2 linked regions of the Caenorhabditis elegans genome follow. The protein of the gene in region 1 interacts with the protein of each later gene in a pairwise test. Each region holds a gene or a part of one and is shown on either strand. Other genes may lie near its edges.

Region 1 (3,763 bases):
CACCTTGACAATGCCGTGGAGCAGTTGAAGAGCCAATTGAGCCGGCTTGAGTAAGTTCTTTCTTTTAAATTTATATTTTTATTTTCCAAATTTGTAGTTCGAGCGTCGCAATTCTGAAATCCCAACAAATGGCCGTGAAGAGTGTTTTGGAGTTGAGAGAGGACGAATATCTCGCTGATGATGCGGATTCCAATTTGCCTGATGAATTTTTGAAATTTAGCAAAATCAGCAAGTTATGTGTAAGTGGAGAGATTAGATAAACTTTCAACTACAAAATATGAACTTTACAGGCCGCTTCTCTCCAATCGTACGAAAATGTAAAAAAACGAAACGAAGAAATGCAAAAAGAGCTGATTGCCGAACGAAATCGGCAACGAAAGCTTCACGACGCGACAATGAAAATGATGGAAGAAAAGGAAAGGGTTCGAGTTGAACAGTTGGAAGATTTGTTCAAAGACTTCTCATTGGAACAACTTACACGGCTCAGGGATCGAATTCGTCAGGCACAAAAATAAAATTTTTTTTTTTTTCGTTTTGCCCTGTGATCTACTTTAAGTTTTTAGTATCGTGTTTTTAATGTGCCATATAAATTATAGCGTTGTGTGTCAGTATTTTATAAGTTTTCAGAAAAGGAACAGGATCAATGGGTTCCTGTAACTGACTGATCTTATTTTTATTTTCATCGAAAGTTCCTATTTATAAAGTATTCAGTAATTTTAAAATTTTGATTCTCAGCATCGACAAATTTGAAGAAAGCAGACACTTAAAAAATTCTGAAAAGTATTTTTTTAAAGTTAAGACAATTCGCATTGAGAAATAATATACATATTGGCCAGGCGCGAAGTTTTATGCCAAAAATACGGTACACGGTCTCGACACACATTTTTTTGTTGAATGCGAGAGGTGTGCTCCTTTAAAGAGTACTGTAATTTAAAACTTTCGTTTCAGCGCAGCTTTCAAGCTTTCATCGATTTTTAAGTTTTTTTACAATTAAAAAAAAATATTTATTTATATTTTTACAATTCAAATGTAACAACAAAAAATATATACATTTTGTCAAATCACGAGGAAAACTGTATTACTCTTTAAAGGCGCACATCTACTCGCATCTAACAAAAATGTGCCGTTCCGAGACCAGGTACCGTATTTTCGGGTAGGAGAGGTAATAAAGGGTTAGTCGTGCCAGGACCTTTCGAAATTTTATATGAAAACTAGTTTTTCCCACTGAAATCACCTACAATGATGAAAAATTGCAATCTTTTCGTATATTCTGATGATGTGCAGGTGTTAATTATGGGAAATTACCATATTCAATCAAAACAAAAAATGATTGATTATCATATAGCTCGCATACCAAACATCTGCTTCAGTATTTACTCAAGAAATATACCTAGAAAATGACACTGTAAATATAATACAAAATTCATTTCGGAAATTCTGTTTTTGCGGGTTTTTTTTTCCAATATCGATGTTTCCCAATTGCCCTCAATAAATAATGTCGGAAGCCGACAAATGATGTGCTCATTGTGCAAAACCACATTTCGGTGGCTAACAAATAAATATCATGCATGGATCGCCTTTTTCGGGTTGGCTCCCCGATTGTTTGCACAGCTTATATTTACTGTAGGCCCCGCCCACATTTTACTGTTTAGGTTGTCCCTGTGGATAGTCAGTTATAGATAACCTGCTTAGAATAGTTCAAAAAATGTCAATTTCCCAAAACAACTTTTTGACCATGTTCCCTGTAACTTATACATTTGAGAATGGGGTCTACTCGACTATTATCAACCAGAATACTATTCAAACCCCGATTCCAAATCCGATTCAACATCATATTCAAAATCATATTCAAACTTCAATTCCAAATACAAATCTTCTACTGGAAAATGTTCAAACCGATGTACAAAAACTAATGGGTGAGTGAATGTTTTATATTGCACCCGATTATTCAAAGGTGACAGCTTATATCTCTAAAAATCTAAAAATTATCCAAATGGAAACTAACTCCAATAAATGTATTATGTATGTACTTATATCATTTTTTGAATATATTACAGTACCACTAATCGATCAGCAATTCCACATTCCAACTTCCACCCCACTCCAACTTGCACCAATCCCGACTCAAATTCAATCTCAACTTCAACCACAAATATCTCAAATACCTATTCACAATCAACCACAAATTCAAATTCAAAGCCAAGTTCAACCTCAACTTCCCACTCAAAGTCAGCCAAAACCTTCTTCTAAAGCGTCATTGGACACTAGCTCAAACGCCTTTAAGAAATATGTGAACCCATTTGCACCTGAAGCTACAGTACCCCTGCCTGTTGAACTTGAAGATCAATACGGACCATATAGGTAAGATCATGCTTTTATTAAAGTTTGAAAATTTTAATTTTCAGCTCATCAGTTTGGAAACGAAACGAACGTGAGCGATGTCGAGTGAGAAATGTGAATGATGGTTATGAGAGACTGAGAAAACATCTTCCAGTTCATTTTGAGTAAGTTTCAATGATTTTCTAAAAAATTAAAAAAATGCTTCTGGAAATTGTAGGGAAGTTGTAGATGAGAAAATTCATTTAGAGTAAAGTTTACCTCAAATTTACCTTGAAATGCTATTAAATCCCGAAGGAAACTCGGGAATCCCCGTGACAGCTATCTGGCAGCAACTCATGCAAAAGGCTACTATTATAATGCCAAGTATTTCCAAGATTTTGCTACCAAAATTTGGCTAGTGACACGTACCTATCAAAACATTTAATCAATAATTATCTTCCTATAGATACAGTTGACAATAATATTTTCCAGTGAAAAGCGAATCTCAAAAGTTGACACTCTCCGGCTTGCAATCCGTTATATCAAACATTTGGATAACTTATTGAGGAGCGAGCTTCATCAGTATAACTGCAAGTGCTTCAATGGATTCCAAGAGGAGTCCGAAGGAAATATTTTAATCGATATTTCTACGTTTAATTTTAATTCGAGTAATAATGCTATGTGAGCGGATTGTTATTTGGAATACGAAATAAATTAATAAATAGTGGATAATAACTGTCAAGTTCTAGAAAACACAGAAACATGTAAAAACGATTTATTCACACATATCTCTGCCTAATTGAACTTTTTCTTAATGTATGCAGCAATTCCAGACATAGGCTCGCATTTCTTCAGGTCATCCTCTTCAGGAATATCCGATGTGATCTTTTCGTGGTCGGGCTGCTCCTGTAAATTAATATTTTTATTCACAATTTTTGAAAAACTTAACCTACCGCAAAATTGATAGCCGAATTCCTGTCCTGTTGTCTAAAAATGCTTCGCTTCTTTGGAGTGCTTACAAGAATCGCAACAGCAGCAGTTGTGCTTAACGGGAAGTAAACCGATCGCTCGATTGCATTTGTTGTGGATTTGGCCTTCACTAATGGAGGTGGGCATCCTTCGGCAGAGCCAGGCGCAGTTGGTGGATCGATCATGAGAGTAGGCCCCTTGTCGCACGGTGGCTGGAAATAATAATTGTATTTTTAGAAAACGTATTCACTATTTAAGCTTACAACTTCAGTGGAACTTTCTACAATCCATTGCTTCAAGCATGCCAACTCCCGCAATGCAATCTCCAAAGCATCGGAATGCAATGGAAGACTGTTTGTTTCACTGGAGTCTGAAATTATAAAGTTCTCAGAAGAAAACCATTTTCAAAAACCTTTCTTCTCAATTCTTGTTCCTTTCTCTACTCCAACTGCATAGTTCGCAAACTTCTCGGACA
Region 2 (5,611 bases), on another chromosome or scaffold:
GACACCTCCCCAAATACTCTCGAGAAAAAAGTTCCAGTACCGTATACTTTTGACAACATCTGTCAAAAAATGCACTTTAGAGACGGGCATTGGAAGTATCATTTCTTTTTATAATTGTTGGTTTATTACCACAGAGAGACAATTTTAGGATATGGCTCAAGATATTTGAAGACTCGAGTAGTCCCACAGTATTGTGATTGCTGAAACTTCTGTTGTGAATATGAGTAACTTTATTCTAATAAAATATACCCCTTTCCTGTGCACACTCTTTCTCTCACTCTTACCATATTCTGAAGAATTAAAATTTCAGAGATCCCTACAAAACTCTAATAACATGCTTCAAAAATGAATGTACTCCCTACAGTCGGGTGGCGACATTTTCCCCCAAGAGAGCTGACCTCTTCTATTCATTCAATCCCCTTATTCATTCAATCCTTCCCCCATTTTCCTCTCATTTCACCCAAAAAAGACTGGTGAATGAATGGTGGGAGAAGAGATGGAGGACCCCGGGATAATAGAGGATTGTGTGCTGCAGGAGGTAGAGAGAGATGGTTGTGGGCGTGACCTCTCCCGATCATCGTCTCTGCGTCTCTTGGATGTAGACGGTCCCCGGGAGAAAGAATGTCTGCGTCTATGTACACCAATATACTGTTTATGTCCCTTGAATGGGCTTTTATACGCGTCCCTCCACTACCACCACCCTCGAAGAACCATTCCTAGCCACCCGCATAGCCGCTAAGAAGGGGGGAGTGCACTCTTTTCGTCTTTTTTTGTGTCTAAATCTGTTCCGTTTACTAGCTTTTCAAGTTCATGATCTTACTGTAATAAAACATAGCACATATTTTGAATGAAATACATAATGTATCCCATCTTCTGATTTTGAAAATTAAAATTTCTCTCCTCCCAATTTTCAATTTTGGATCTTTTACCAAATAATTTTGATCTGCATTACTTTTTCTCACTCCTACAATGTTTACGAATCCTTACCAATTTTGAATTTAAACAAGAACGCAAATGTATTGTAGGGCAGTTTTTTTTTCAATTATTGAGTTTATCAAAAAATGTATATTTGCATCCGAAATGTTACTAGCTCACGTTTAAAGCTTTCATATATATCTTATCCTACGTCTGAATTTAAACTAATTATTTAGATGGGCCTGAAACCCTTTGATCCATCACCCCTTTACTGTTATTTTATTGCTCTTTCGGGATGTCATCCATCCGATAATCATCTACAATGACATCTACATTTACAACTATTTCTTGATACCATCTCAACATCATTACCTCCCTACAAATTGTTCTCCTTCAAGTAACTTGCTCCTAATAATTTATACCGGAACTTAGTAGATCTATTGTGACGTCACAATTATTATTCTTTATTGATCTACCTTGCCTCTTTTGATCTCGTTTGCCTATTTAACCAAACGAGGAGAATCGATTATTTTCTTCTTTTTCTTATTCTCAATATTTCTTCAAATGGGGTTGTCTTGACGAAAATCTAATCAGAATATATTTACTAACCTAATTTTTTCACCTGCTGCTCCAGCCCAATTCCCTACTTATTCCCTTTCCTCTCCCCGCTTCTCCGCTGACTTTATTTCTTTGACATTACTACTATAATCGTCTTTCATATCATTTCGCAGAAATAAAGTTTTCAGAACCTCAATGGCGGATCCAAATAGCCAACTTACGTCAGCCACAACTGTTGCAACTGCCGCCATTGCTCAACCACAGGTTATGCTTCCAAATGCATATGATTATCCTTATAATATTGATCCGACAACGATTCAGATGCCTGATTATTGGAGTGGTTAGTCTTTTTTTCATTTGAAATCTATTATAATTTCAATTATATCATTTGGTAAACCAAACCAAACATGTTTTCGTGAATTTGTTAAAAGTCGCTTGTAATCAGTTAGAAATATTGGATAAATTGCAGAAAAAGGATATAAGTTTGGTATTACTTATCTCGAATTGTTGAATTGTTGATTTTATAAGCTCGCAAATTTTTAAAATTTACTTTAAGTTGAAACAAAATGTATAACTCTTTTAATGTTCTAAAATTTTGTAAAAATCTGGTTTGCTCTAGTAAGTAGTTTATTAACCAAAATGTTTATATCTCATTTCTCAAGTGCAAGTCATCTAAATAAACATTTTCAGGATACCATCTCAACCCGTATCCTCCGATGCAAACAACGGATATTGATTATTCATCAGCCTTCCTTCCAACACATCCACCAACTGAAACCCCTGCTTCCGTAGCTGCTCCAACTTCTGCAACATCTGATATTAAGCCAATTCATGCAACATCATCCACTTCAACGACGGCTCCATCTACTGCTCCAGCTCCAACTTCAACTACTGATGTGCTTGAGTTAAAGCCAACAACAGCTCCAGCCACGAATTCTGCAGAAACATCAGCGATTGTTGCTCCACAGCCTCTTACTAATCTTACCGCACCAATTGACGCAATGTCATCAATGTATACATGGCCACAAACATATCCAGGTTACCTTCCACCTTCAGAAGATAACAAAGCAAGTGAAGCTGTTAATCCATACATCTCAATCCCTCCAACATATACATTTGGTGCTGATCCATCAGTTGCCGACTTCTCATCGTATCAGCAGCAACTTGCTGGACAGCCGGTACGTTTCTATTCTTCTTGGTTTTATTCGTGTTTTACTGTTTTACCACAAGTTAATCTCGACGAATGATTGCTTGGCCCTCCTCAGCCGCCAAGCATTCACGTATGCATAATCCGCTTCCTTTTGATGTGAGCCGCCGCCTTCTGAAGATTGAGATGCATGCAAAAGGCGGCATCTTCTTGAGAAGAACACCCTGTGCGCACTAAACGACCTCCAAAAAAGTCACTAATGTAAACATAAAACAAGGAGAAACATACAGAAAAGATGGATTAGTTACATAATTAGGCAAAGTTTATCGCTTTTTTTGTTGGAGGAAATTTTTGAGATTCTTTCAGTTTTCTTTAAAATAATTTTTGCCATATGACAATACTAAACATTAAGATTCTGAACTACTGTTGTCGTGAACAAAGTTTTGAGACCCTGATGACATTTTTTTGCGTTCCAGTCTTGAGAAATCTAGAATAATATGGTAAAATCCCTGTATCCAACCTCTGACTAGTGAATAACTAAATTGGCCAAAATTTGAAGCTCTTGCTTTTTGCATTGTTACCCAATAGCCGGTCACATTTTCTGATGGTGTCCTCGAAAACCGAAGGGGGCTATTGACCGACGTCGCCGCATGATTAAGTGGTGAACAGAGACGGTCACATTGCGGGGTTCAGTACATTAAAGAGATCGATTGATTTGACTCGGCCCCCAATAGTACCATTTGAGAGAATTAACTGACTAGCAAGGCAAATGAAATTAATTCTTTGTTTTGTTTCATTGAGAGAAAAAGTTGAGTAGTTTTAGATGAGGGTTATAGAAATTATAAAACCAAAAACAATGAAATATTGCAGAATGGTCTTGGTGGAGATACCAACTTGGTTGACTACAATCATCAATTCCCACCAGCCGGTATGAGCCCACACTTTGATCCAAATGGATATCCAGGAATGACCGGAATGCCACCAGGATCAAGTGCATCATCTGTTCGAAATGATAAGTCTGCATCAAGAGCAACGAGCCGTCGTCGGGTACAAGGCCCTCCATCTTCTGGAATTCCAACTCGCCATTCATCGTCTTCAAGGCTTTCTGATAATGAATCAATGAGTGATGACAAAGATACGGATAGGAGATCACAGAATAATGCTCGAGAAAGGTGAGGAGTTTTTTACTTTTAAGACGTTTTGAATTGAACATTGGAAATTGACAATTACATAGTAATTTAATCGAGATATCTCCAAATCTAATCTAATACAAAAAACTTACAGAGTACGAGTTCGTGACATCAATTCGGCATTCAAAGAGCTCGGACGAATGTGCACACAGCACAATCAGAATACAGAACGGAATCAAACAAAATTGGGAATTCTACACAATGCAGTATCTGTGATTACACAATTGGAAGAACAGGTTAGATAATTTTTCATATTTTAAAGAAACATTCAAATTGTGAACAAAATTAATTGGCAATTGTTCGACTGCTGTATTTTTGACTTTGAAGCACATAACATTGCGATGGAATTTATTCGAAAAATTTAAACAAAACACTGAACAAGTTGAAATTTATAATTTTACAGGTTCGTCAACGAAATATGAATCCAAAAGTGATGGCTGGAATGAAAAGGAAACCTGATGATGATAAAATGAAGATGCTTGATGACAATGCACCATCCGCGCAGTTTGGACATCCACGGTTTTAAATTTAAAAATTGACTTTTTAAGCATTTCAAACTATCATTCCCAATCTTCTCCCAATCATCCATACGGCTAAAACTCTCTAGCATATTGTTTTTTTGTTCAAACTATTCAAATGTTCCCCTTCATCTCCCTCCGGATTGGAGGTCCTGTGATTTCTCAACTTCAATCAGTTTTCAGTTTTAAAAATTTTAAACTTTATTACAAGATCATCACAATTTTCTGTATGTTTTTAATTTATTTTCTCCTCTAAATTTAAATCAATCAATAGCTAATTCTAATATTTCAAGTATTAAAATTAACTTTCATATTATTCATTCATTCAATCAACTTCTTCCAACTTGTCTTATTTTTTGTGTGTGTGTATGTGATAAACCATAGCTAATTAGTATCTACTTGAAATGAAATGGTCCACTCAAAAAAAAAGACACCGCCAACTAATTTCACACATGAATTACTCTATTGGGTAACTGTTTCAACACTTTAATTATCCAAGCTCCGATGAAGTGCTAATGTCCTTCGCAGTATGGATTCCACTTTATGTTGAAAGGGATTCCCATTTATAATTAGACATTTAGTTTGACTTTCTAAGTCGTTGAAACGAGATGTTTTTTTCATGGTCTGTCAAAACTGATGTATAGGAATATTGGATGTATAAAATGTCAACAACGGGAAAAAATGTGATACAAACATAATTCATTCACCTTGATCAAAACAAACAAAATTTTAAAATTCAGAACCCTTTTTGCATCACTCAAATTAACTGGAAAATGGCTTTTCGGACAAGTTCAATTGCATTTGGATGTTTAAGAATTGCCATGTGATCAGCTTGAAATACTTCGTGTACAGTAACCTTATAACCATTATTATTTCCAATCCAATTAGTGCACACTGTAGCTGATTTTTTGTTCACTGTCCCGTCTCCATCACCCATGAATTCAGTTGGTGGATAATCTGGAAAGTATCCGGGAGCCCATGAAAACTTTTCCGGTGTGGGGACTCCTGTTCCATAAATACAATGAACTGGAACTCCTGGAGAACTTAAATTTCCATTCAGACGGGCGGCCTGTTTGTATTGTTCCCATCCAACCATGTAATTAATGTCTTGAAAGAATTCTTTAATATTTCCAACAGTGTAGTTTTTGTCAGCAGTTGTCGCTAATATTTCATGTGGTTTCCATGCAACTGGACTTGGAAACAGAAAGGCCGAAGAGGAGAATGATCTGAAGAACCAAATAAGTTGAAGAAAAACATAATTTGGTAGTCTTAGCACCATAAGA

The links.
Region 2: the proteins of hlh-6 (region 1) and hlh-2 interact in a two-hybrid assay, tested with the Caenorhabditis elegans proteins (2 studies listed by BioGRID).

What each region holds. Positions count from the first base shown.
Region 1 is NC_003280.10:9,612,755-9,616,517, reverse strand, and holds hlh-6 (Helix-loop-helix protein 6), read left to right. Parts: upstream 1-1,689; 5' UTR 1,690-1,705; coding exon 1,706-1,916; intron 1,917-2,057; coding exon 2,058-2,361; intron 2,362-2,405; coding exon 2,406-2,504; intron 2,505-2,811; coding exon 2,812-3,004; 3' UTR 3,005-3,055; downstream 3,056-3,763. Other genes in the region: hal-3 (uncharacterized protein), read left to right, coding at 1-50, 98-239, 291-515; T15H9.4 (uncharacterized protein), read right to left, coding at 3,115-3,225, 3,273-3,500, 3,552-3,658, 3,701-3,763. UniProt on the Caenorhabditis elegans protein: Transcription factor that regulates the development of the g2 pharyngeal gland cells and pharyngeal gland function and thereby is required for feeding.
Region 2 is NC_003279.8:7,189,965-7,195,575, reverse strand, and holds hlh-2 (Helix-loop-helix protein hlh-2), read left to right. Parts: upstream 1-1,655; 5' UTR 1,656-1,668; coding exon 1,669-1,813; intron 1,814-2,163; coding exon 2,164-2,651; intron 2,652-3,490; coding exon 3,491-3,792; intron 3,793-3,904; coding exon 3,905-4,046; intron 4,047-4,213; coding exon 4,214-4,336; 3' UTR 4,337-4,788; downstream 4,789-5,611. Other genes in the region: plag-15 (PhosphoLipase A2 Group), read right to left, coding at 5,086-5,554. UniProt on the Caenorhabditis elegans protein: Transcription factor which binds the E box motif 5'-CA[TC][AG]TG-3'. Plays a key role in the anchor cell/ventral uterine precursor cell (AC/VU) decision; required for VU fate.